3 linked regions of the Alligator mississippiensis genome follow. The protein of the gene in region 3 interacts with the protein of the main gene of each other region in a pairwise test. Links are inferred from orthologs where the notes say so. Each region holds a gene or a part of one and is shown on either strand. Other genes may lie near its edges.

Evidence for each region.
Region 1: the proteins of COPB2 (region 3) and COPB1 interact in a two-hybrid assay, tested with the Homo sapiens proteins (2 studies listed by BioGRID, with this or other methods). The link is inferred for Alligator mississippiensis from reciprocal best matches to the Homo sapiens genes COPB2 and COPB1.
Region 2: the proteins of COPB2 (region 3) and COPA interact in a two-hybrid assay, tested with the Homo sapiens proteins (2 studies listed by BioGRID, with this or other methods). The link is inferred for Alligator mississippiensis from reciprocal best matches to the Homo sapiens genes COPB2 and COPA.

What each region holds. Positions count from the first base shown.
Region 1 is NC_081825.1:195,519,948-195,527,681, forward strand, and holds the start of COPB1 (coatomer subunit beta), read left to right. Parts: upstream 1-4,724; 5' UTR 4,725-5,000; intron 5,001-7,734. UniProt on the Homo sapiens protein: The coatomer is a cytosolic protein complex that binds to dilysine motifs and reversibly associates with Golgi non-clathrin-coated vesicles, which further mediate biosynthetic protein transport from the ER, via the Golgi up to the trans Golgi network.
Region 2 is NC_081838.1:15,764,752-15,772,686, reverse strand, and holds the start of COPA (coatomer subunit alpha), read left to right. Parts: upstream 1-4,927; 5' UTR 4,928-4,995; coding exon 4,996-5,035; intron 5,036-6,403; coding exon 6,404-6,517; intron 6,518-7,053; coding exon 7,054-7,127; intron 7,128-7,464; coding exon 7,465-7,545; intron 7,546-7,935. Other genes in the region: NCSTN (nicastrin), read right to left, coding at 845-963, 2,281-2,404, 3,092-3,196, 4,662-4,779. UniProt on the Homo sapiens protein: The coatomer is a cytosolic protein complex that binds to dilysine motifs and reversibly associates with Golgi non-clathrin-coated vesicles, which further mediate biosynthetic protein transport from the ER, via the Golgi up to the trans Golgi network.
Region 3 is NC_081830.1:45,473,475-45,481,316, reverse strand, and holds the start of COPB2 (coatomer subunit beta'), read left to right. Parts: upstream 1-4,796; 5' UTR 4,797-4,903; coding exon 4,904-4,906; intron 4,907-7,418; coding exon 7,419-7,556; intron 7,557-7,842. UniProt on the Homo sapiens protein: The coatomer is a cytosolic protein complex that binds to dilysine motifs and reversibly associates with Golgi non-clathrin-coated vesicles, which further mediate biosynthetic protein transport from the ER, via the Golgi up to the trans Golgi network.

The sequences.
Region 1 (7,734 bases), on a different chromosome or scaffold from region 3:
TATAGTAAGACATTTTTTGGTTGGAAAAATTGATCTTTGCAAACTTTAGGATTTGTGAAAGCTGGATATTTATGAAGAAGGAAATAAGTGTTTTGAGGTGATCTGCTACAAAAGAATATTAAATGTTTTCTAGTCTGCCCCGCACACCCCAAATCCAACAAATGGGCAATCAAAAAGAATTGGAACCAAACTGAATTGGAGAATGGTGAAAACAGAAAGTGGAGTACCAAAGTTGGTTCCTGGTTTGTGGTTCCTTATTTACAAATCCCAGTTCCTTTTTCAGTGTTTTGCTTTCAACAATTTTGAATTTGTTGGCAATGAATGAGATAAGATAAAGGGTTCTATAGTTCACCAAATACATGCATTTGCTAATAAAAATCTAATTTATCAAGTACTCCAGTCATCATCCATAGAAATTAAAAGTTAAATTCACTACATACACATGTAATGGGACACAGTATAACAAATCACTACAATCAAGGGGCAGCCCTGAAGAAAAATGAGTAAAGGGGCTGCTAGACCTGAAGCTTGATTTTTGCAACATAGTGCCATATGAAAGCTCTCCACACCTGTCCTATATACATTGTGTAGAATAAGATGAGTTGGGCTGGGGTTGTGGGGCAAAACCTGTCGAGTCACCACAAACACCTCTCCCATGGTGGGGATATCTCCTGAAGACGCTTGGATAGCATGCTGCCTGACCCAAAGCTGGATTTGCAAGTGATGTGGCATCACCTGACAGCTCCTCAGGCCTTTGTGCTGTGTATTGCACTGAATAAGGAGCTGAGTTGGGTTGGAACCGAGACAAAATCTGCCTCAGACAACTCAAAATGAAACCTCTCTGACCAGAGGACTCTCTTGAAGCAACCTGGGATTCAAGCAATGTGGTGCCACGTGACAGCTCTTCAGTTCTGTGTGCTATGTATGTTGCACTGACTAAAGAGTAGAGTTGAACTAGGAGTGGGACAAAATCTGTCTCAGTCACCCCAAAGAAATAATTCAGTGGATATGCTCTATTGGTTGCAGAATACTGCACAATTTAAAAAAGGCAACAATTTTGGGATAGTGTGAAGGAAGAATGACTGGCATTGGGAAGCTTGTCCAAAGCTCTCTCAACCAAGCAGTTGGGCCAATAAAAGATACCACCCCTTAGGAATGCTTGCTTCTTGCACAGTTCCTGGGCCATCACAACTGCAACTTCACAGTGATGTTAGCGTAAGAAGCAAGACGCTGACTCCAAATGGTGCGGCATGGTGAAGAGTCTTCACGTTTTTAGAGTGGGCACCCCCACACCCAACACAAACTGAAAGCCTTGAGAAGCAACTGTGCTGGATTACCCAGACGGTCAGCAGGCCTCCAGGCATTCTAGCAGGTAGCGCTGTAGATCACAGGTGGGCACAATGCACAATACCATCACCCTGTTAACCTGTCCCCATACAGAAGATAGTTTCCAATGTCAGAATGTCTGAAAGCATGTACCAAGTTAAACATCTCTTTTGTGCCCTGTTGCTTTTGTAGCAACGAGGAACAGTGAAACTACTTTTAAAACTCAGAAAAGGAGTGAGAAATACACAATTCAGCTTACATTGATTGATGATTATTCCAGGCAGTTTCCCATCCTAAAACACATCCTAAGGCCCATGGCATACAATATGCTTGAAATGTGACTGACCAGTTAATCACATCTCAAGTTGTTACCCACTTTAATGCAATTAATGGTGTGATGAAACAAGGAATAAACCACAAAGTTTCTACATAAAAAATGTAAAAACTGGTGGTGTGCCTCCACAGTGGGGTGCCCAGATCAACTGACAGCTCACAACCCCAGGAGTACATGATGCAACCCCGTGGCTGGGAGCTGGGATCAGCTGACAGCTCACAACCCAGTGCATGATGCGCTCCTATAGCTGGGAGCCCCATCAGCTGCTACCAGCACAGGAACTAGCTACTTGCCAGAGCAGGAGGAGCCTGAGATACCTGCTGCACCTGCAAAAAAGCATGAAAGGGTCTGATTCTGGATCCCACAATCATACCTGCCATGCCTGTGTGGCCAGAGCCCAAGAGTCAAATTCACTATCATCACACTTGGTGGGAAGCTGCCTGGGGCAGATGTGAACTGCAGGTTACCTATAAAAACCTTTTTAAAATGCTTATGGTTACAAACACAATTAAAATCAGGACACGCACATGCTACTGAACTACATGACTGGGCCAAGCATAGAAAATGAGGGTTGGAAGGGACCTCGGGATCATCTAGTCTAGTGTTTCTCAAGCCGTGGGTCACAAGAATATATGAAAGGCTTGCATACAAACTATGAAAATAGATCAACAAACTTTCATAGATTCTAGAGTTGGAAGGGACCCAATGGATCATTGTGTCCGGCCCCCTACCCCTGGCAGGAAAGAGGACCAAGGTCAGACAACCCCAGCCAGGTGATTGTCAAGCCTCCTCTTGAAGCCCTCCAAGTTAGGTGACAGCACCACCTCTCTTGGAAGCCCATTCCAGACTCCGGCCACCCTTATTGTAAAAAATGTCTTCCTAATGTCTAACCTAAATCTACTCTCCACTAGTTTGCACCCATTGGGGCGCTCTGGTAAACAGCGCATCCCCAATTCCCTGTCTTCCCCTGATAAATTTATAGGCAGCCACAAGGTCACCCCTCAGCTGTCTTTTGTATAGGCTGAAGAGATCCATCTCTCTCAACCTCTCCTCGTAGGGTCTTTCACAGAGACCATTAATCATGCGGGTGGCCCTCCTCTGAACCCTTTCCAGATCCTCCGTATCCTTCTTGAAGTGTGGTGCCCAAAACTGGACACAGTACTCCAACTGCAGCCTGACTAATGCTGCATAGAGGGGAAGCATAACCTCCCTCTATCTGTTGGTCATGCATCTGCTAATACACAACAAGGTGCGACTGGCTTTGTTGATGACCTCATTGCACTGCCAGCTTATGTTCATCTTATGTTCAACTATGACTCCAAGACCTCTATCAGCCTCTGAGCTGCTAAGGAGGACATCCCCCAACCTGTAGGTGTGCTGGGGATTCCTCCTTCCTAGGTGGAGTACCTTACATTTATCTTTGTTGAATTGCATCCTATTACGTTCAGCCCATTGAACTAAACTGTCCAGGTCAGCCTGTATCTGCTCCCTGCCCTCCGGTGTATTAACTTTACCACACAATTTGGTATCATCTGTGAACTCGGAAAGGGTGCTCAACACGCTCTCATCCAAATCACTGGTGAAGATATTAAATAATACTGGCCCAAGGACTGAACCCTGTGGGACCCCACTACCCACCTCCTTCCAGGTTTAAATGACCTGTCGACCACCACTCTTTGGGTGCAGTCCCTAAACCAGTTGGCCACCCATCTGACTGTGTAGGCATCCACTCCACAACCCGTTAGCTTCCCTATAAGAACAGGATGCGACACTGTGTCAAAGGCCTTCCTAAAGTCCAGGTAGATGACATCGGCCTCTGCTCCTGTGTCAAGGTAGCATGTGACCTGGTTATAAAAGGCTATAAGGTTCATCAGGCAGGATCTACCTGTGATGAACCCATGCTGGTTTCCTTTCAGCATTGTTTCTCCTGCTGGGCTTTCACAAATATGCTCTTTGATGATTTTTTCTAGTATTTTCCCCAAGGATAGAGGTAAGACTGACAGGCCTAAAGTTACCCAGCTCCTCCCTTCTCCCCTTCTTACAAATGGGCACCACGTTGGCCTTTTTCCAGTCCTCAGGGACCTGTCTGGAGCACTATGAGAGCTCAAAGAGCTGTGCCAGCAGCTCAGCAATGACACTGTTGGGGCTTGAACTTTAAACATGGATTCTCTTTTAAGGGAGAAAAATGTGGGAAACTGTGGCTTTTCCCTTGCAGACTGGCAGCGTTCCGGCCTGCCGCTCAGCGTTGGTCCTCCCATGCCCCACACACTGTGGGGCTGGGGGCAGTGGGTTGCAAGTGAGGGGCACTGGGCCGGGACTGGCCATCTATGAGTCCTGGTTCAAAAAAGGTTGAGAACCAGTGATAGTCCAAGCCTCTGCTCCAAGCAGGACATCCCCGGATTAGATCATCCCACCCAAGGCTTTGTCTAGCCAGGTCTTAGCAACCTCCAAGGATGGAGCTTCCACCAGCTCTCTGGGTAACCTGGTCCAGTGTTTTACTACCCTCCTCCTGAGAAAATTCTTCCTAATATGTAACCTAGACTTCCCTTGTTGCAACTGGAGACCATTGCTCCTTGTTCTGTCATCGCCCACCACTAAAAACAGTCCAGCTCCCTCCTCTTTGGAACCACCCTTCAGGTAGCTGAAGGCTGCTATTAAATCCCCCCTCAGTCTCCTCTTCTGCAGACTAAATGAGCCCGGCTCCCTCAGCCTCTCCTCAATACAAGGGAGCGCTCTCACACATCCCTGCCTCTCCCAAGCTGCCCCTACAGCCCCCGGCTGCCTGCTTCCCTGCCCTCTTTCCAGCCTCATGGAGCCACCCCGCATGTGCCCCGAGTGTCCTTCCAGAGGCAGAGCTCTCTCCCCAGCAGCCACCACGCAGGAGCCGCGGTGGGGGGTGGGGCGCAGGGCCTGAGCCGCCGGGCCCCGCGCTCCCCCTCCCACCCCACGCGAGGCGGCTCCGAGCAAAGACGTATATGCGCGGAACCTTGAGCCGACAGGAGACGCGCTTTTTCAACACGCAGAGCGCACGCGCCGTGCTCCCTCTTCTCCCTTTCCCCCCGCAGCGTCTGTGGGGCTCAGAACGAATGTACAGAGTGCATGCGTTATGTTCTCACTCCCTCTTTCCCCACCCGCAAGGCGTATGCATCCTCCCCCACCCCTCCCTTCTTCTCTCTTTCTCACTCCCTCCCCGTGTGCGAGGCGGAGCCGTTCTGTGCGCCGCTCGGAGGAGGCGTGTCCTGTGAGGGCCGCCGTAGGCTCGATGTGGCCCGCCCGGGGAAGGCCGTTCCACGTCAGCCGGAGCGGGCAGCGGGGCCGGGCCGGAGTCCCGCCGCGGGAGGTAGGTACCGCGCCGCAGGGACCGGGCCGGGCCGGGCCGGGCCACAGCGGCCGCCGCGTGGGGCGGCCGGGGCAGGGGTGATCTCGGCCGCCTGGGTCCCCTGGGGACTGTGGGGGCAAACGGGAGACAGCCGAGGTGTCCCGTCAGAGCCGCGGCCTGCAGGCACGCCCGACCCGCCGCGGCCTGCGGGGCTGCTTTGCAACGGGAACACCGCTGTGTTAATTTTCTGTCGGCAACAAAGAGCCGGGGAGCTCAAGGGGGCGAAAGAGTTTGGGAAACGCCGATGCAGGGTTTGAGCCACAGTGATTTGATTTTTTCCACAGATTGACCCCGGGGGTTGTACGTTTTCATAAACGTATTGTCACTTAGCAAGGGGCTGAATTGTAGAACAGTCGAGTATCTTCGGGTAGATGCGATATCTCTTGTTAGACCACCTGAATAGTTGGGAAAATGATTCTTGGCAACAGCTCATGAAAGGGGTGGAGAAAAGGGGTGTTTTTTGCTTTTTTGCTTTGTTTAAACTGGTATCAACACAAACTTTATAATGAGTTGTGTGTCCTGTGACGAAGGATGTTTATTTTGTGTCTTCCACCTGGTGGTGCAGCTCTGTAGTTCTGGGGGTAACATTTTTGGACGTGTGATATAGTTGTGTAGTGACAGGCATGTGTAAAATTAAAGAGTTCCCCATCTATGCAGGGGACTTGTTTTCAGTTTTGAAGCCAGGTAAAGGAAGAAGAATTGTTGCCCATTCACCGTTAACAGTAGAAACTGTAAGGAAATGGTTTTGTTAAATGGTAGGAGCGTAGTTCAAATAGTAGTGGTAACTCGGAAAGATGGTAACAAAGGATCTTATCAAAACTAGTGGAGGGTGCCCTAAGGCTTGCGTGACTCTCGGAGATTTAAGGATTGGAACCAGCAGCAAGACCGTTTTAAAGGCCACACAAATTATGAACGCTGCTTGCAGAACACATGAAGCTTCTCGTCAATGTGAGCACTGTACTTCCAGTTTCAAAAGTTGTAAAGTTTAAGGTGCATCCAGCAGAAATGTGGTATGTGGCACGCATCTGTGGCATCACACACCGCATGTTTAGGTATTCCCTGGACTCCTGCCTTGCAGTGTGGTGGGTTTTGTTTGACCCCAGGAGATCCTGGGGTCAAAAGAACCCACGCCAAAAAAAAGCAGGGTGGTACATGTGACAGCAGTGTGTGCCGCCCAAAACCTGATCAGCTGGAGCCACACGGGTTACTGGCCAAGCTCCCTGCTGCAGAAGTGCTGCGGTCGGAGATCCTTGATGACCCCAGGTAGGGCTGCTGGGGCCAGGATAGTTGCTGGCCCCAGCCTCTTCTACTTCATCTAGGATAACCTACTGCACACCAGAGCATGCATGGCATGGGCGTTCCTCAGGGACAAGTAGCCACAGCACAAGCTGTGCCACTGCTACTTGTCCTTGGGGAAACACACGTCTGGACACGGCCTAAGAGTTGAGCTCCTCGGGGCATGGGGTAATGCAGATGAATGACATATGCTTCTGTTGCAGATTTGGGAAGCTGTTCACACCTAATGCAGTTCAGAACCTTAAGTTCCAAGCGGAAGTAACCAAAGAAGGTCCCTTTTTCACATGTCTCTTCACCACCAAATAGTTGCATAGCAGGTTCTGATGGTTCTGTACATAGTTCTGAAAGTTAGTAGCAAATGGAGTCCAGGACCTCTTGGAGTAATGCTTGCTGCAGGTTAACTTTGGGATTGTTTTTAAAGGAGCATGGTTTGATGTGACTAGTTTCAAGCACTTATTAAAATCAACATCTTGGACATTTTATTTAAGTTAATACATGATAGGATTGGCCTAGTGGAGGGCCAGGCAGACTGCCTCCCTTGGAAAGAATGCCTTTGCTGGAGCAAACAACAGATAGTTTCAGCCTTCTCCTCTTACCATTTCCTTGCCTTCCCATGTAGAAATTGAAGATTATGAAACAGAAAACAGTATAAAGATTTTGTTCTTTGGGGAAGTGCATTAGTTCTTGCCATCTCTTAGGGAGTCTGGTCAAGAAAGGGCTTTGACTGGGAGCATACTCTGGTTCAGAGTCTTTCACATCTCACTCTTGGTGAGGGAAGCCATTTACTGCTTCCTCTCCAATTCTGTGTCCCAGGTGTGATCTGTTAAGGGAGTGCTTTTTGGTGCCCTGTATAACTTGGAAACACTGTGCCCAGGATTACTAGGTTCTGTGGACCTTTGCCTGTAAAAATGGTGGGAGGAAACTAGTTGAAATCCAAGATAAGTTAATAAAACTTAAGATATATCTACTCTGGTCTCTTCTTGTACATCTCCATATTAGAGATGAAGAAGTTAGATGCAGAAACTTAAAGCATGGTCTATGGTGGTGACTTGGGATGGAGGGTTCATACAACTGGCGAGGTGACTGAATTGTCATTTCTGAAAATGTGAAAGCAGTTGGCCTTTTTTGGTGACCTGTTATTGGACCAATGGGAGAAATGTTAGAGAAGCTATTGGGCCCGAAGTGCCCTTTCACAGGTCATTCTGTGACCAACTACAATGTATACCATTGGTCCAATAAACGAGATCACCAAAACACCTGTTGCTTCCATATTTCCTGTGTCATCGTGGCTACAATAGCACTCCAACCTACTATTACTAAAAATGGTCATAAGTAAATTGCAATTTTTTAAAGATGACATGAGTGTTTAAAACTTTTTTTTTAAGTGTAACTTTAGTGT
Region 2 (7,935 bases), on a different chromosome or scaffold from region 3:
ATGCACACAGAGAAACATTATACTGCAAAAGGCAACCATATAAGCAAGCACTCCGTGAGCTCTGTCATGAGATAAACATACCTCTAAGGCATTTATAAGGTGCCAGCCACTAACACTGCATGAGCACCATAAAGTGAAGGGTATGACAAACGCAAAAATACCACACTAAAACGAATTCTGTGCATTTACATGGCACCTTTCACCACAGAGCACCCCCACAGCACAGTACAGATTATACAGAACGAGGGAATCTCTTCACCCAGCAAAATGCAGCCACTTCTAAGGTAGGATGTACAGCATGGGTTAGCAATACGTGGCAATAGTTTAGGACAAATAGTGAACAACCAATCAAACAAGTGCATGGTTGAAAATGCAGAGGGAATAAAAAGAGGCAGTGAAGCATGCTGAAATTTGGCCAGGGATGTGGGTTTAACACGCCAGCTCTGCAGGAACAGTCACAAGTTCTTTTAATGACCATGAGTGGTCAGGATGAGTTTTAGGTCTCATCCAAAAGACAAACAGCAGGAAGACTAAGTCAGCTCTGACAGAAGGGGGGAAAAAACCCAATCCCCACCCCCCAAACCTTACAATCTCTTTGCAGAACCACTGATGTTATTTCCTGGAGCTCTCAGGCCCCTCTGGAAGTCTCCTACCCCAGTGCTTCTGAATTCTGAAGAAGTCCAGCACAAGCGACTCATGCCTAGAGCGTGCACCAAGCCCGAATCCTAACTTGAGCATTCAGCAAATGCCAAACTCGCCAATTGGCAAGCTCCTTCCCACTTTGATCACACACCCAGGAAATGCTACCTTCCCCAGCGACCATAAGGATGAAATGTTTCCTTACCAAACCCATCATTGGGGCATTTTAAGCCAGGGGAGAATCCTGGTAAAGGACTCGGTCTGGAGAGGGCCACAGCCAGCCCAGAAACTCGTGAGGTTCCCTTCAGCTGTTGCAATAGCTCCCTGGAAGAAAAAAAAAGAAATGGGGGTAAAACAGACCAGCATACTCTACCGATCTCAGAGGGGAAGACAGTGAAAGGATCAAAGACCCTCATGAAAAATAATTAAAATAAATAAAAATATTCATGAAGTCCCTGCGGCATTCCTGAGAGTTGTACTTTTTAATGTCTCATGGCTGCACAAAGCAACTTCCCTGAGGTTACACGATCATTAAGCAGTGGACTGGAACACTAAATACACAGCTCACCTACTCCACTGACACAATCCACTCCATCACCCACTCACAGTTCACACCAGGAAGAACTCTTTAGGAAACAGGAAAACAGAGGGAATAAGCACAACTCCAGATAGCCAATACCCACGTACTGCATAGGACCATGACCTAGGCACAGACCAGGATCAGGTACCACCAAGTGAAATCAAGGAAAGATGAAGCTGACCGTGCATCCTCATCAGTGATGTAGCACTTGCATGGTTTGCACTGCTGACACCCAGCTGGATGATGTGTCAAGCCCCTTGGGAAGGTCATTTCCCCACCCCCACTCAGGCCACTTGGCCAGTTGCGGACCCAGACAGGACAAGAAAGTGGGTTGGGCACTGCATCTCTCAGCTCAAATGTCAAGTCCAAGAGAGATGGCCAAGGACTTCATTCATCTGACAATAGGAACGAGAGCCAAAACAGACAAATGTTATTGATGTTACTGACATGCTGCTTCCCTCCCTGAAAAGGGCCTTTTCTTCCCTAAACATTACTATTTTTTTTAAATGACATCCTGTGCTGAAGGAAGAAAGAGATAGAAATTCAAACTGTAGTGGAAAACAAAACCTTACCAAAAAGGCTGAGATGTAAATAATTCCTCCAAGGCTATGCTAAGGCTCTATACTACACGTTAAAGCTCTTCCTCACAGCCTCTACCAGTGCTTGTAAACGCAACCCTAAGGAGGGTTCACAAATTGCCATGGATGTAGAACTGGGCTCCTGAGTTTTGTTCGAACTACTAAACCATCCATTAAGACAAACAAGCAAGGTACTAACTCGCATCAAATGCACAAATGCTTTTTTAAACAAGGCACCGATATTCAGCACTGCCTTCTCTGGAGGGTGGCAAGGGCGCAACAACCCATAAAATGAGCCATGGGAAGGCTGTCCCTCAAACACCCTGCTTGGGTTAAAATTCCACCTGAGGCTACTGAAAAAGCCACAGGCATCTCTCCTTGGAGTCCTAATCAGAGTTTTGGCCACCAAATTACAGTGCCCCTGTTTGTCATCTCAGAGGAGAGGAGGGTCAATAATTGTTAGCACTGACAGTGGCCCATTACCTGGTGAAGAGCTCCCCTTCTAGCAGGACCATGTATGGAGGATGGGGTCCATCTGAAAGCACCCACTTCAGGTCCTGCTCCTTCTCAACCACATGGATCACTCCTGTATCTCCATTAATAGAGGCTGCAGAGAGACATGCACAACATCACCATGTTTCAGTGAAATCCATTTCCCTCAAAGCTGTACACCTCCTGGGTATTGGAAGGGAGGAGACTAGAAGGCAGTCTGAATTAAACCATGGCTCACCCCACGGCCTGGAAGAGCTGGAGAACCCCTCTATGCTAGCTTATTTGTTAGACCATGTGCATTTCCATCCTTTAACCACAGCAGACAAGATCCACTGTGGGGCAAAGCTTCTACTGAGGAAACAAGATGTTCAACCACAAATCAGCAACATGCTAACTGGCAGGAAGCCCTTTCACCAACCACAATGTGGAAACCCTTCAAAATCAGCGTTCCTTATTTGTCTTCCTCCTCTTCCCAGCCTAAGAAACCCCAAACCTTGACAGCACACAAACACACACATGCACAAAGTCAAAACTAAACTAAGCTTATAACCTATCTAGCTTTAAAATACTAGCCTAGAGACATGAGAGGAAAAGGAAGATGCCCAACTGATTAAACTCAAAGCAAACAGTTACATTATATTACTCTTTCAACTGCGTCTGCTTCTGGGACAACTCTGATCAGAAAAGGCATAGGATCTGAGGGTTTCCCATATGTTTAAGGTGTACACACGTCTCCCTTATCTTGCATCCTCCCAGCTTAAAGGAGAAGAACTGCTAAAGACAAGTGCTCGGTCATACTTACACTGACAGCCTATTTGATGAGTAGCATTCAAGAGACGAACACATGGGGCAGTCTTATTTAAGGTAATATAGATTTTCCTCTCCACAGAATTACCCCAACAAGAACCTGAAAAGGCAGGACAAAACTGAAGATGAACAGGATGGAGAGATTATTTTTTAGCATTCTTTGACAATTGTTACCTCTGTCCCTGCCCAAAAATACTGAACGTACATTGACTGGTTTATTTAGGAACACACGGAATAAAAAAAAAAAAATAAAAAAAATCAGCAAAGAGCACTATGTGATGATCACTGCAAATGCACGTCAGAAACACAACACCCGTGATGGGTCCACTAAAAAATGCTTCAGGGGACCATGCCAGGATTGGGAGCCAGGAGCTCTTTTATCCAGAGGCAAGGATTTTCGGGGAGCAATTTCTTTTATCGCACCACCCACTTTAGTGGGATGTTCCAGATAAGGTCACACTGCTCGTATGCCCACATTTCCCTCTCTACTATCATGACTGGAAGCAGGTCACTCACCCAGCTTCCTTATTAAAGCCAGTCAGCACCATGTTCAAGGTTTCCAGACAGTTTATTTTACATGGGGCAGCCTTGTCCCCACAAAAAAAAGAAAATCAACAAACCAAGCAAACATGCAAATGGCAAACCCCAAACTTGCAGCCTTCCTTCAGAGCTTGGGAGGAGTGAGACAGGCTCTGTACTTTTCCCCAGGCACCACCACCTCCTCCCTCTTGCTCTTCGCTTCTGGAGCTCTTAACTCCCTCTCTATCCCCACCCGCACTTCCTGGTTATCCTTTATAGCTGCTCCCAGCCAGGCAGGCTTTCACCGCCGACTCCCTGCAGCTGGGTCTCAGGCTGAGTTGCAAACTGATCACCAATGATCCTCCTGATACAGGAGCGGCGAGAATCCACCTTTCACCAAGCCTTTGCATCTTCTGTACATTTTGACCATCGGAAGAACACCTTGCATTCAAAAGCGTGTCCAGCTTTATCCCAACCATGCAGTTGGTCCAATAAGAGATAAACCCCAAACTCCTTGCCTCTGGCATACCTTTAAAATGTCAATGCATTGCCTGTCTGCTTTATAATGCTTCGCAACAGCATCTAAAAACCCACTTGGAGCCACGTTAAGCGTGTCAGTTAGTCTGCCACTTTTGCTTTGTATCCGCCAAAATCGTGCGGTCGACTTTACAAGCAGGCAGCGCCACCCCGGCCGGCAGAAGGAAACGCACGGGAGGAAGCACGGGGCTACGCGAAGTTTTGCCGGCTGCTTCGTTTGGAGCTCGAAGCGAAGCAACGAAACGAAGGGCATTGAAACGGCCTCGAAACGAACGTTTCGAGTCTCGCAGCTGAAGCTGGGCTCGCCTGCAAGGAACCTGCGAGTCAGGAGAGCGAGGGGAAGACGCGGTCTCGTATTGAGCGTGGTCCTGCCCTGAGGTCCGAGCCAAGCCCAGTGCTCTGGGGGAGGGAGGGAAAAACAGCACGCAAAGCAGCGTTGTTTGAACCGCCCGGCTTTCCGTCGCCCTCGGCCAAGGGCTTTGCTTGGGGGTCACCTCAGCTAGACTCACCCGAGGCCGCCACACAGAGCAGGATCCCGCGGAGCAGCGCCCCGCCGCCCCACGGGGCTCCGGGTCCTCCTCCTCCCGCCCGCCGGAGCCCCCCGGCTTGCCCCGCCGCTACCGCCATCTTGGTTGGCACTTCCGCTTCCGCCCCTGCCCGGGGGAAAAGGGGGTGGGGGTAGTGCGCCTGCGCACGACGCACCCCCCCACCCCTTCCTTCCGCCCCGGAGGACTCGCTCTCTATGGTTCCGGCGGGCCGGGGTGGAAGCGGAAGTGGCGGCGTGGGGCAGTTCCGGTGCCGACGTGGAGGCCAGGCCGAGGAGGGCGTCGGGGCCGGGTCGCGATGCTCACCAAGTTCGAGACCAAGTCGGCCCGGGTGAAAGGTGACGGGGCCTCCCCAGGATCGGGCCCATCCCAGCACCCTCCCCTCAAGTCCAGGCCCCTCCCTCAGCACGGCGCTTCTCAGGATCGGGCCCATCCCAGCGCCCTGCTCCACTCTTCCCTATGTCCATCCCCTGCACCCCCCCCTCCCCCAACCTACATCCCAGTTTCCATGCCCCCCCTCACACGCTATTTTGCCTCCCGTGGGCTCCCCCACACCCCAGTCCTGACCCCGGTTTCTCTTCCCCCCCCTGCTGCTGCCTCCTGCCCCCGCCTCTGCCTCTGCCCTCTGCATCTGCCCCAGCGTCTGCCCCTCTCAGCTGGCATCAGGGGTGTTATCAGTCCAGCCCCGGGGCCTGGCTGGCAGCGCCAGTCTCCTGAAACCCCTGGGTCTGGTGTCTCTTAATGTTTGTTAACTCCTAGCTCGTTGCTGGTTCTAGGCCGGTGTTACGAGCTCGTGGGTGGTAGATGTCAGTGATATCTTTTACCACCGGTGACAGTTGCTGCTTTCTGTCTGCACATCCGTCCCCGCAGCGCTGGGAGGCTTTAAAAAAAGCCATTGGCGGCACATGGGAGTAAAGCAGCCTGCCTTTATCTTGGAGCCCTTAGCTGATGTTTTCAGTGAAGCTTTTAGGTGCCTGATTGTGGCCCCTTGGAAGGACCTGAATTTTCTTTTTTTTTTTTTTGAAAATGACAGAACAAGGAGCAATGGTCTTAACTTGCAGCATGGGAGGTTTAGGTTGGATATTAGGAAAAATTGTCTTATTAGGAAGGTGGAAGAGAGATGGTGGCATTTCCATCCTTGGAGGTTTTTAAGACCTGGCTAGACAAAGCTTTGGCTGGGATGATGGAGTTGGGGCTGGTCCTGCTTGGAGCAGGGGCTTGGATTTGATGTGACCTCCTGAGGTCCCTCCCAGCCCTCGTTGTCTGTGATTCCACGACTTCTACCCACCCTGAGGCCCCTTTGGGGTATCTCAAGGTGAGAAGAGCCTGAAAATTAACACTGATGATGATCATGTTCTATGTGGTGCTTGAGGATGTGCTTTTTAAGCATCTCAATTGGGCTGTGCCAGGTTTATTTCCAAATGTTCATAGAGAGCTGATGCTTCCTCGTTCTTATTGCTGAAACTCATTTGTAATCAGAACTATGATGCAATAAATCTCTCAGCAGCTATGACCTATGAACCTCCCAGCAAGGTATGTTTGCATGCTTCCTCTTTGGGAGTTTAACAGCCACTTGTATCCTGTGTTTGAGACCTGGCAGGTCCAGATGACTGGTTCTTCCCTGCTTCCACTGCTATCTTTGTCTCCAGAGTTTGCACTTAACTGGAAACTTGACCCCTATGTATTTCTTTGTCTGTCTGTTTTAGGGCTCAGCTTTCACCCAAAGAGGCCCTGGATCCTAACAAGTTTGCACAATGGTGTGATCCAGTTGTGGGATTACCGGATGTGCACCCTCATTGACAAATTTGATGAGCACGATGGTGAGTGTGTGAGCTGGAGTAGGGGGGGATGTAGGAGATAACACTTCAGGAAGAGACTGAAGTGCAGCAGGCACTTTGCAGAAAATGACAAGCATGTGAGGGGAAGAAGCGTGATCTTTTACTTGATTCCCAGGTTTGGGCTTCCAGAGGTCTAGTTTCTAATTCTAGCTGTGTTGCATATTCTGTCTTTGGCTTTGGGCAAATTACTTGCTCTTTGCACTGTTCCTGAGCTGTAACATGAAGATAATGCTGCTTTGCTTTACAGGGGTGTCTTAAGGATAGCTTTGTTGGACGTGTAATAGATTCTTAGGTATTATATTGATGTGGCTAGAAAAGCCCAGTAGAGAGAAGAAAACTTGCTTTGAGGAGGTCTTAGGAAGCTGCTCTGTCACTTTGAGGCGTTACTTCATCCATTGAAACGCAGTAGGAAGTGATAGAGCTGCACTCTTCTTCAAGTGAAGTGATAGCTTGCGCTGACTGCTGATGTAACTATTAGCTCTATCCCTGTGTCTCACATGCCCCATTTCCCCTTGCAGGACCTGTCCGTGGTATTGATTTCCACAAACAGCAACCTCTCTTTGTCTCTGGAGGTGATGACTACAAAATCAAGGTAAAACCTTCCTTCCTACTTCCCATTGTCCAAAGAGTCAGGGTGTGTAGTAGAGCATGGGAAAGCTGTAAAATGTGTGAAACATGCGTGCAAGCTTAGAGCCTAATAATAAAAAATCAAAAGACAATGGAAATGGTGAAGTTGAGCTCAGGAGGGCATCACGGGGAGCTAAACTTAGTGATGAGGTCTGTTTCTCACTTGACTCGGGTCATGTAAAATGAAAGAGACTATAGTCTGTGAGGCAGCTGGCTTCTTGCAGGTCCAGAACAAGTTGTCAGCAAGGATCGGGGCTGAGTTTGGCAAGCCTCTCACAGTGTTTTGTTTTATTGTTGTCCAGGTCTGGAATTATAAGCTACGCCGCTGCCTTTTCACCCTGCTGGGACACCTGGATTACATTCGTACCACCTTCTTCCACCATGTAAGTTTTCCTGCAGTGTAACTTGAAGTATAAGTCATTGTTATGCACCTTGCCTCATTTTCTGTAGAGGAAATACTCTCTGTCTGCTTTTCTTTTATGGTAGTAATCATAAGGGTTCCTGGTTTTCTCTGATTAAAAAAAAAGAATCTCCCATTTGTGGTTTAAAAAAGTAACCCAAAATCCACATTTTTTCTGTGATTAAAATGAAACCGCACTATAGATATCTATATATTAGTGGTTTTCATTTTTAATCACAGAAAGATATGGATTTTGGATTGCTTTTTTAAATCTAGAAATTGTTTTGTTTTTTTTAAATTGGAGAAAACTAGGATCCCAGATTAACACAATATGCTGAGGGCTGTTCAGTCGTAAAGAAAGTCTTGATTCCTG
Region 3 (7,842 bases):
CCCGTGCCCACCCTGCCTCAGCTGGGCAGCACTTGCCCCAGCCCTATTCCCTCCTCACCATGGGGAGCATTGATCTGCCCTCCCACACCCCTTGTCTCCCTCTCCCCTTTCACCACAACATACTTACCTGCTGGACTCAGCTGTATCGGAAATCGGATCAATATGCCTCCTTAAAAATCGGCTATCAGTATCAGCCCCCAAAATGTCTATCAGTGCACCCCTAAATGAGACTACAGGAGGGAAGTACTACAGTTTACGAGTTTTATTATTTAGGTTTACATTGTTTTTGTCTTGTACAACATTGGTACCTAATGTTAATAACACCTTTTCCTTACACCTAGTGTGCTCAATTAATCTTCACCTTCTTCCCTGTTAAGTCTGTGGTGAGTTTTGATTCAGTTCATTGTACTGCAGCCATTAACCCCTCCCCATAATAGTACCTCAAACTAATTCTGGATCTGAAATATTTACTTAAGTAGTAAGCTGTAATACTTACCTGATAAAAAGAAATCAATGGAAAATATTTGCTTTTACAAAACAAAGTTCTAGCAAGAATTATGGAATACTTAAGATCCTAAAACAATTCCCAGAAGAAGCAGGGGAACTTAGTTGCATTATAGGTTGTTTGTTATCTCATTCTATTCTGGTGGGGACAGGGACAAGGAATCTAAACAAGTTGAGTTAGTAAACTGGGATTCAAAGAGAAATGCCGTGATCCTGAGAAATGCCATATGAGCCTTCAGAGAAAATAAGCAGCCTGGAAAAATAAATGAGAATCCTCGCAGTAATGCTGGAGTACTGGGAAAATAATCAGAGCAGGGAAACACTGAACCCTCAGGACTTGAAAATCTACTCGAACAGTTTTTAGACATTTCCCTTTTTTCACTGGTATTCCTTTCTTGTTGAAGTTACTTTTAATACTTAAGTATTTACACTGCAGATGCTTGCGATGGCATCTTATGCCATCTTAAACTTGTACAACTGGAAAATGAATGAATGAATAAACAAAAAACAGTGTCCCATCCAGCTGAGAGGCAATTTTATTCCCCTATTATCATTCAAATCCAAAACTTGGCAATAGTGTTACTCCTAAAGTTCTAATCATTAGCACTAGGATTGAAGCTGAAATCTTGGAAAAAGAAGTTCTAACAGACCGGTTATATTAAAAGGTTATATTAAAGTCTGATTTAAAAAACCAGTCTGATGAAACACTCTATCATTGTTTTCTACTAACTACTCTTGAACTTATAACCTCATTTTGTAAGTTATGCTTTACTTCAGTGCATCCAGTAAATTATAACATATTTTAATAATGGCAGGATTTTGCATACTTTATTATGGAGCAATTTTATTACACTTTTATGCCTTTAAAAAATTAGTTGAAGTATCAAAAATAAATTACTGCAGCCTGCAGTGCACATCAGCCAATCAGTTATGTAAAATCACTGTTTTTTTCTTTTTCTTCTTTTTGGTTTAAGTATAACCAATGTATAATGGGGTGTCTCAGTTAGTCTGGTGACTTTTCAAGAGGAGCTGCCATATAAGGGAAATATAGTCTGCAACAGTAAATATGTTCCAGCTAGTTTAATACTGTACGGGAACTAATTTGTGAAGACCAAGTGTGCAATCGAAAATTTTAAAACAACAGCCAGTTTCACATTGTGCTTTTTGACATGCCTGTTCGTTTTTAATGTGAGAAATACCTGTAACAAATAATAGGCGAATAGTTTGTATATTAACATTTCTCAAATCCTTTGTCAGTCGCTCAAGGTCTTCCTTCTTAGTTCTCAGAACTTGTTCATCCCTTATATTAATTTTCTGTGCTTTTGGTTTTAAAACATTAAGGGTCTCTGGCAGGAATTCACAAACTAGGCTGATTTCATGCCACTGCAAATTCCTTCCTTCCTCCTTCAGCTGTTTTCTTCTTTGTTAAACATCCTTCTCTCACCTTCCCCTACTGAACCCATGTGCACTATCAGCAGCTGCTTTGAAACTTGCTTTAGACTTCTTTTTAAATCTTCTCCCTTCTTTGGACAGGACTTGCTGTAGGAAAAAGAACTCCTCAGCTAAGGAAAAGCATTCAAAAAGCTTGAGCCTGAATGGATTCAATCTTTTCAGGTCAGGCTAACTTGGCTAGACTTAACCAGTTAGTAACGGGAAAGACATCCCTTCTGGACTGAAAAAATGCAGGCGCATGCCTACAGTGGCTCAAGTTGGGTGGGGCTACAGCATCCCTCCCTTCCCTTCCCTGGCAGGATGCTCTAATTTGGGAGAGCTGGAGGGAGGAGTTCTTCCCCTCCCCACCTTGCTGCTCCTGACAAGCAAGGGAGTCAGCAGGGAGTTACACAGCATTTATCAGCCCAACAAGAAAACAAAAGCTTCTCTCATCAGTTGAAGCTCTTCTTAAACAACTTTTTCCAAGGAAGGAATGGAGTACCTGCTGACCTGTTAATTAGCTCCAGAAAGCCCTAAGTGGACTCTGTCCTGTTCGCCTTTGTCCTATCTGCCTTACACAGACACCTCTCAGCATTACCTAGCTGACCCCATGCTGGTTATGGTCCGTGCTGTGGGAGAGAGGAGGGGGGAATCCCTGCTTGAGCAGGGAGTGGTGGTGGGAGGAAGGGGCACAGGGAAGCCAGGCAGCTGTGCCTGTTGTTTCTGCTGGAGCTCCAGCCACGGAGTAGAGGGGAGAGGCCAGCCCTGCTCTGGAGCAGAGAGCCCCGCCCAGAGCTGCAGCAGGGGTGTGGCAGCAGTGAACAGGGACCTCCTGCAGGTGGCTGCAGCAATGTTGGCAGCGGGGCATGGGGTGGTGAGCACTGACAAGTGGTTGACGACCACCCACAGACACCGCTGGTGGTGTTGGTGGCGAGGGGGGAGGGTAGTAAGTGGCGACTGCCCGCAGGCACCACCGACACCGGCCAGTCTCAAGGGGTGCATCGCTAATATCAGGGGATGCATGTGCACCCCCTACACATCACCAATGCCTAAATAAATTAATTCTGGTACTACATTCAACCAGGTTTATCTCAAACCAGTTTCAGCCATTTTCAAACTCGTTTATGTGCATTGAGTGTCTGTTCTGTTACAGGTTTAAACCAGTTTCTGATCATTTAAACCAGTTTATGTGTAATGTCTGTTCCTGACCCTCCACTATAACTTCTCTTCTCCCCATGTTTTTTAAAACTCCTGCTTTCACCACCCCGATCTTTTTTTTTGCTGGCTCTTCTCTCCTTCCACCTGCCCCAAAGCCCTACAATAATAATAGCCTCAACTGTTTAAGATGCATGAGTCAGACTCCAGGTATCATGAAATTGGCTGCAAAGTCCCAGAGTTTAGGGTGTGCTCAGATCATGGTCTCTATAGCTTGTCTATGATGAAGGTCTTGATCGAGGGTCTCATTACACATGATCTTGTTACACCCTCGATACAACCATGATCAAGGGTCTTGTTACACATTTCACTTTGATCTGCTCAAATGTCAACCGGGATTAGGGCCTTGTTACACCTTACACCATAAGCCACACAAATGTTGATCAGTGTTAATGCTAGCTTGTGTTTGGAGCGGTCACATTAAAAACCTTCTCTGACATCCCCAGCGGCAGTGCTGTGACTTGCCACTAGAGGGCTGGCAAGCAGGGGTCTAACTAGGTGCTATAGCTGCAAGTTGCCTCTACGAAGGGGCTCCCAACCTTTTTAGATTGAAGACTGAAACCGCAGACCAGAAGTGGCTACTGACTTGGAAACCACGAACTAGCAGACAACGTTTTTTATACTCAGTATAAAAAAGGGTTGGCTACTGGTCCGCCGTATGCCAGTCACTTCCAGTCCACAGTTTGCTGGTTCACGGTCACTTCCGGTGACACCGCGTGGGGCCCTGTGGCTGGAACAGCAGTCAAGACACTTCCACCTGGCGGGCGGGCGGGAGGAACCAAACCTCAACTGTGGCAGCCACCACCACAGGATAGGATGGGCTGGCCCTCCTGTGGACAGGCAGCCAACCGTTCGCGGCCCTACACCGCCACAGCCCAGGGGTTGGGAAGTCCTGCTTTATGGGGCTGGTGAGCCAGGACAGGCTTGTATCCCTGCTTGGGGGTGAGGGCAGGATGGGATATGAAGCTGGGAGGTGGACAGGAAATGGGTGAGGGAAGGGTGGCGAAATGACTCAAGTCAGTCGCTGAAGGATAACATAAAAAGTTAAAAAGGAAGGAATTTAAAAAGAAATGAAGAAGTAAATTAAAGAAGGTCCCATGTTTTAATAAACGGGGATTTGTTGGTCGTGCTTTCCAGGGTGGCCGGGCGGTGGGAGGCAGCCCCAGCGCACGGGGCCGGCGAGGGAGCGGGCTGGTGCCAGGACCGCCCCCGGGCAGCAGAGCTCTGCGGTAGGAAGTTTGTCCACACAGGGGCGCGGGGGAGGACACTGCAACCTGGGACGCTGGAGGACTGCAACTTAGGCGAGTCTGTGAGGCGCAGGCGCACGCTAGGCCTGAGCTGGGTCAGGCGGAGCGGAGACCAACCTGCCCGGCAGGAGCAGCAGAGCTGCGAGCCGCCTGATGTGCACTGGAATCTCGCTCAGGCGCGGCCGTGGGAGCGCGTCCGGAGCCGCCCAAAATAACGTACGCCAGGACCCCCGCGACCCTGAGCTACCTGCCGGCAGCCCTGGGAACTACAAGTCCCAGCAGCCCCCGCGGTGGCACAGCGCCTTGCGGCACGAACGGCCGGTGCTCCCCGTCGTGCCTCGCTCCCGGCGCGCCTCGATCTCGCGGCCTTTGGGGCCGGGAGCGGCTAAGTCCGATGTTCTCGGCGGTCTCTCGCGTCTCGCGAGAGCAGAGGTGGCGGAAGCTCCACGTCGCTGTGTCGGGAGCAGGGAGCAACACCTTGGCGTCCCCGCGGCGTCCCCGGAGCCATGGTGAGGCCAGGCCGGGCCGGGAGTGGGTTGGGGGGCTCTCGCTCCGTGCTGCACAGGCTGACGCTTGTAAAGGGGCCGGGGGCCGACGAGCGCCCTCTTGCCAACCCTGGCCTGCTGCGTCGTTCCCCGCCCGAGGAGGCTCCCTGACTCCCTGCACGGGCTGCGCTTGCTGGTGCTGCCCTGACGGGGACCTGGGGGCCGCGACAGCAGCACACAAGTCCCTGGCAGCTGTCCAGTGGCTGCCCCTGTCACCCAGTAGCTGGCAGCTGCGAGACCATCTCAACCAGAAGCTGCTTTCCCAGGATGAGTCATTTGGGGCCGTGATGGCACTAATACAGGCGTCCCCAAAACCTTCAAGCAGTAAATGTGCACAGCCGTCTCTTCCACTGTGTTTTAAGACAACTGTGCTCAATTTTTTGACCTCACAGGCTGGATTGGGCTCCGTGCGCCAGGCTCAGGCCCTACGCTTCCTCTGCCAGCCCCGTGCTGGGATTGTGGTGCAGTGTTCACTGGTCTTGCATGCTAGGATCAGGGCCTGCATGCCAGGGGGGACCCTGGGGCCTTGCGCTGCCCCCGCCCAGCCCTGTGCAGTGGGATTGGGCCCTGGTGTGCCACACCGTGCACACTGGAATTCGGCCCCGCACTGCACAGGGCTCTGATATCTGGCTCGCAGGTCTGGAAATTTGACAGCAGGGGTGCCGCACCTTTGCTCTCTGGCTGCTAAATTGTCAGCCTTGGGGAGCTCCACAGGCCAGGTAACATGATGCCAGGGGCCAGATTTGGCCTACAGGCTGGGAGTTGAAAGTGAAAAATTAAAAGCCTTCAGCCAGCTCACTGAGTTACAAGTTCTGTGTGTATCTGAGAGAGTCTTCAGGTTATATATGCTATAACTGTGTGTCAGCTACTTATATTTTAAAAGGAAAGAAATAATGTTTACCGGATTTCAGAAATATAATAAGTCTAATATTTGCTAATGCCAGCTTTAGTGTTCTCATTTTGCTTTTCAGTTTGAAGCTAGTCAAATGCTTACATTGCATTATTTCACCCATTTGGGAGGATAATCTTTCACCAGAGAACTTGTTAAATCAAGCAATTCTAGGTCAACCCATTTTGTATGTACTATTGAGAATTAAGTTTGCTCTTTTTAGAATATTCCATTCTGTGGCATATACTAGATGCTCCAGGGAAAAAAATACCTTGGTATAGCATACCCATAAAATGTCAGGTAACTTAGTTTCAGATTGCCAACACTCCTAAATAAAGAGGTCAAGATCAGTTTTGTTTCATCTGGCTTGGCAGCTGATAATGGACAAGTGTTTTTGCATCATACACAATTGCCATATTTTGTGGTAACTGACATTCTCCCTTGAGTTCTCAGCAGAAGCCCCAAGAGAGGAAAAGATATTAAGATCTACTGACTTTTTTGTCTTGGAAGCGTTTATTTAGCCAGCCAGTAGAAGTTTAAGCAGGGCTGGGTAATTATTTGGGCTGGACACTTAAGGAGCTTTGATGAGCTGTTGAGGGCTGGGGGGTTGTGGGGAGGAAGTGTTGAACTGGCCTCAACCTGTCCCATCATGGCTGTTTATACCACCCTGCATGCCAGGGGAGGAAGGAGAGAGGCATGGAGATGCCAGTTGGTCCTATCCAACCCCAGGCCTGTTTGTCCCACACCCTCCAGCAGGAGTGCCAGGTGAGCAGGTTCTCCTGGGTGACTGGCACGCTGCTCCCTGCCCAATCATGGCGCCATCCCACCCGCCTGGCTGAGAGTGCCTGCCTGTGGGGTCCTGGGCTGGTCTCCATGGAGACCCTGCCCATCCGCCTGCTCCATCTGGTGCCCCTGGCAATAGGTGCAGGGCAGGCAGGCTGGGGTGCCTGGGCAGCAGGGCCAGTTCTGGTGGCAAATGCTGGCAGTGGCAACCAGAAGAAACCAGTGCTGCTGGGTCTGTCAGGAAGCTGGTGTCAGCCATGCCACCCTTGCCCAGCCCTGCAGACTACAGCTCCTGGAATACCCAAGAGCTGCGCGTAGGGATAGGGTGGGCTGTGCTTTGCACCAGATAGGATCTCTGCATCCGGGGACAGCAGGATTGGTTTTACACACCATGACCTGCATTGGATAGAATCAGTTGGCAGGCTAGGTCTGGCCCATGGGCCATATTTTACCCACTCTGGGGCTTAAGGCTACATGGGGCAGAGTATTATGAGGTTATGCATGGTTTTGTTTTTTTAATGTTATTGTTCAAGTAGGTGAGAGGAGAAATACACATCCTTTGCGCTCCTTTGGGACTCACTGAGGTCAGTGGTAGTGTTGCATTCAAAATCAGTGCCTGTATGTTTCAAAACATCTCTTATCAGAGCAAGAAGATAAGAGAAAAGCCATAATGTGTATATACCTGGAAAAGCAGAATCAGATAGGTATATTTTTGGCCTGTCATTTATTTGGTTGGGTTACAAATATGTTAAGATTTTCAGTGCCAGTTTTACACTGAATAACCTAGGGTTCTTAATTTTATAGCCTCTCCGACTTGATATTAAGCGAAAACTAACAGCTCGGTCTGACCGAGTGAAGAGTGTAGACTTGCATCCCACAGAGCCATGGATGTTAGCTAGTCTTTACAATGGAAGCGTCTGTGTTTGGAATCATGAAACACAGGTAAAATTTCTGTTTTCCACTTTTTATTTGAGCAATGTTAATATATAATAATGCTTTGATACCCATATGCTGCTTACAGTGATGAATGAAATACATTCCACTGTAACAGATGTGAGGAAATTTAATTTATTAATAAAGGATTCATTGCTTTTTTATCTTAAAAAAATATTGCTCTCTTTACAAAGGGCCTGTTAACTATCTTTATCTTGCTGGATGGAAAAGGGCATAGAAACTAGAGGTACACCGATACTAGAGGCTGCGCTTAGAGTGGGCGGTGGTGGGTGTT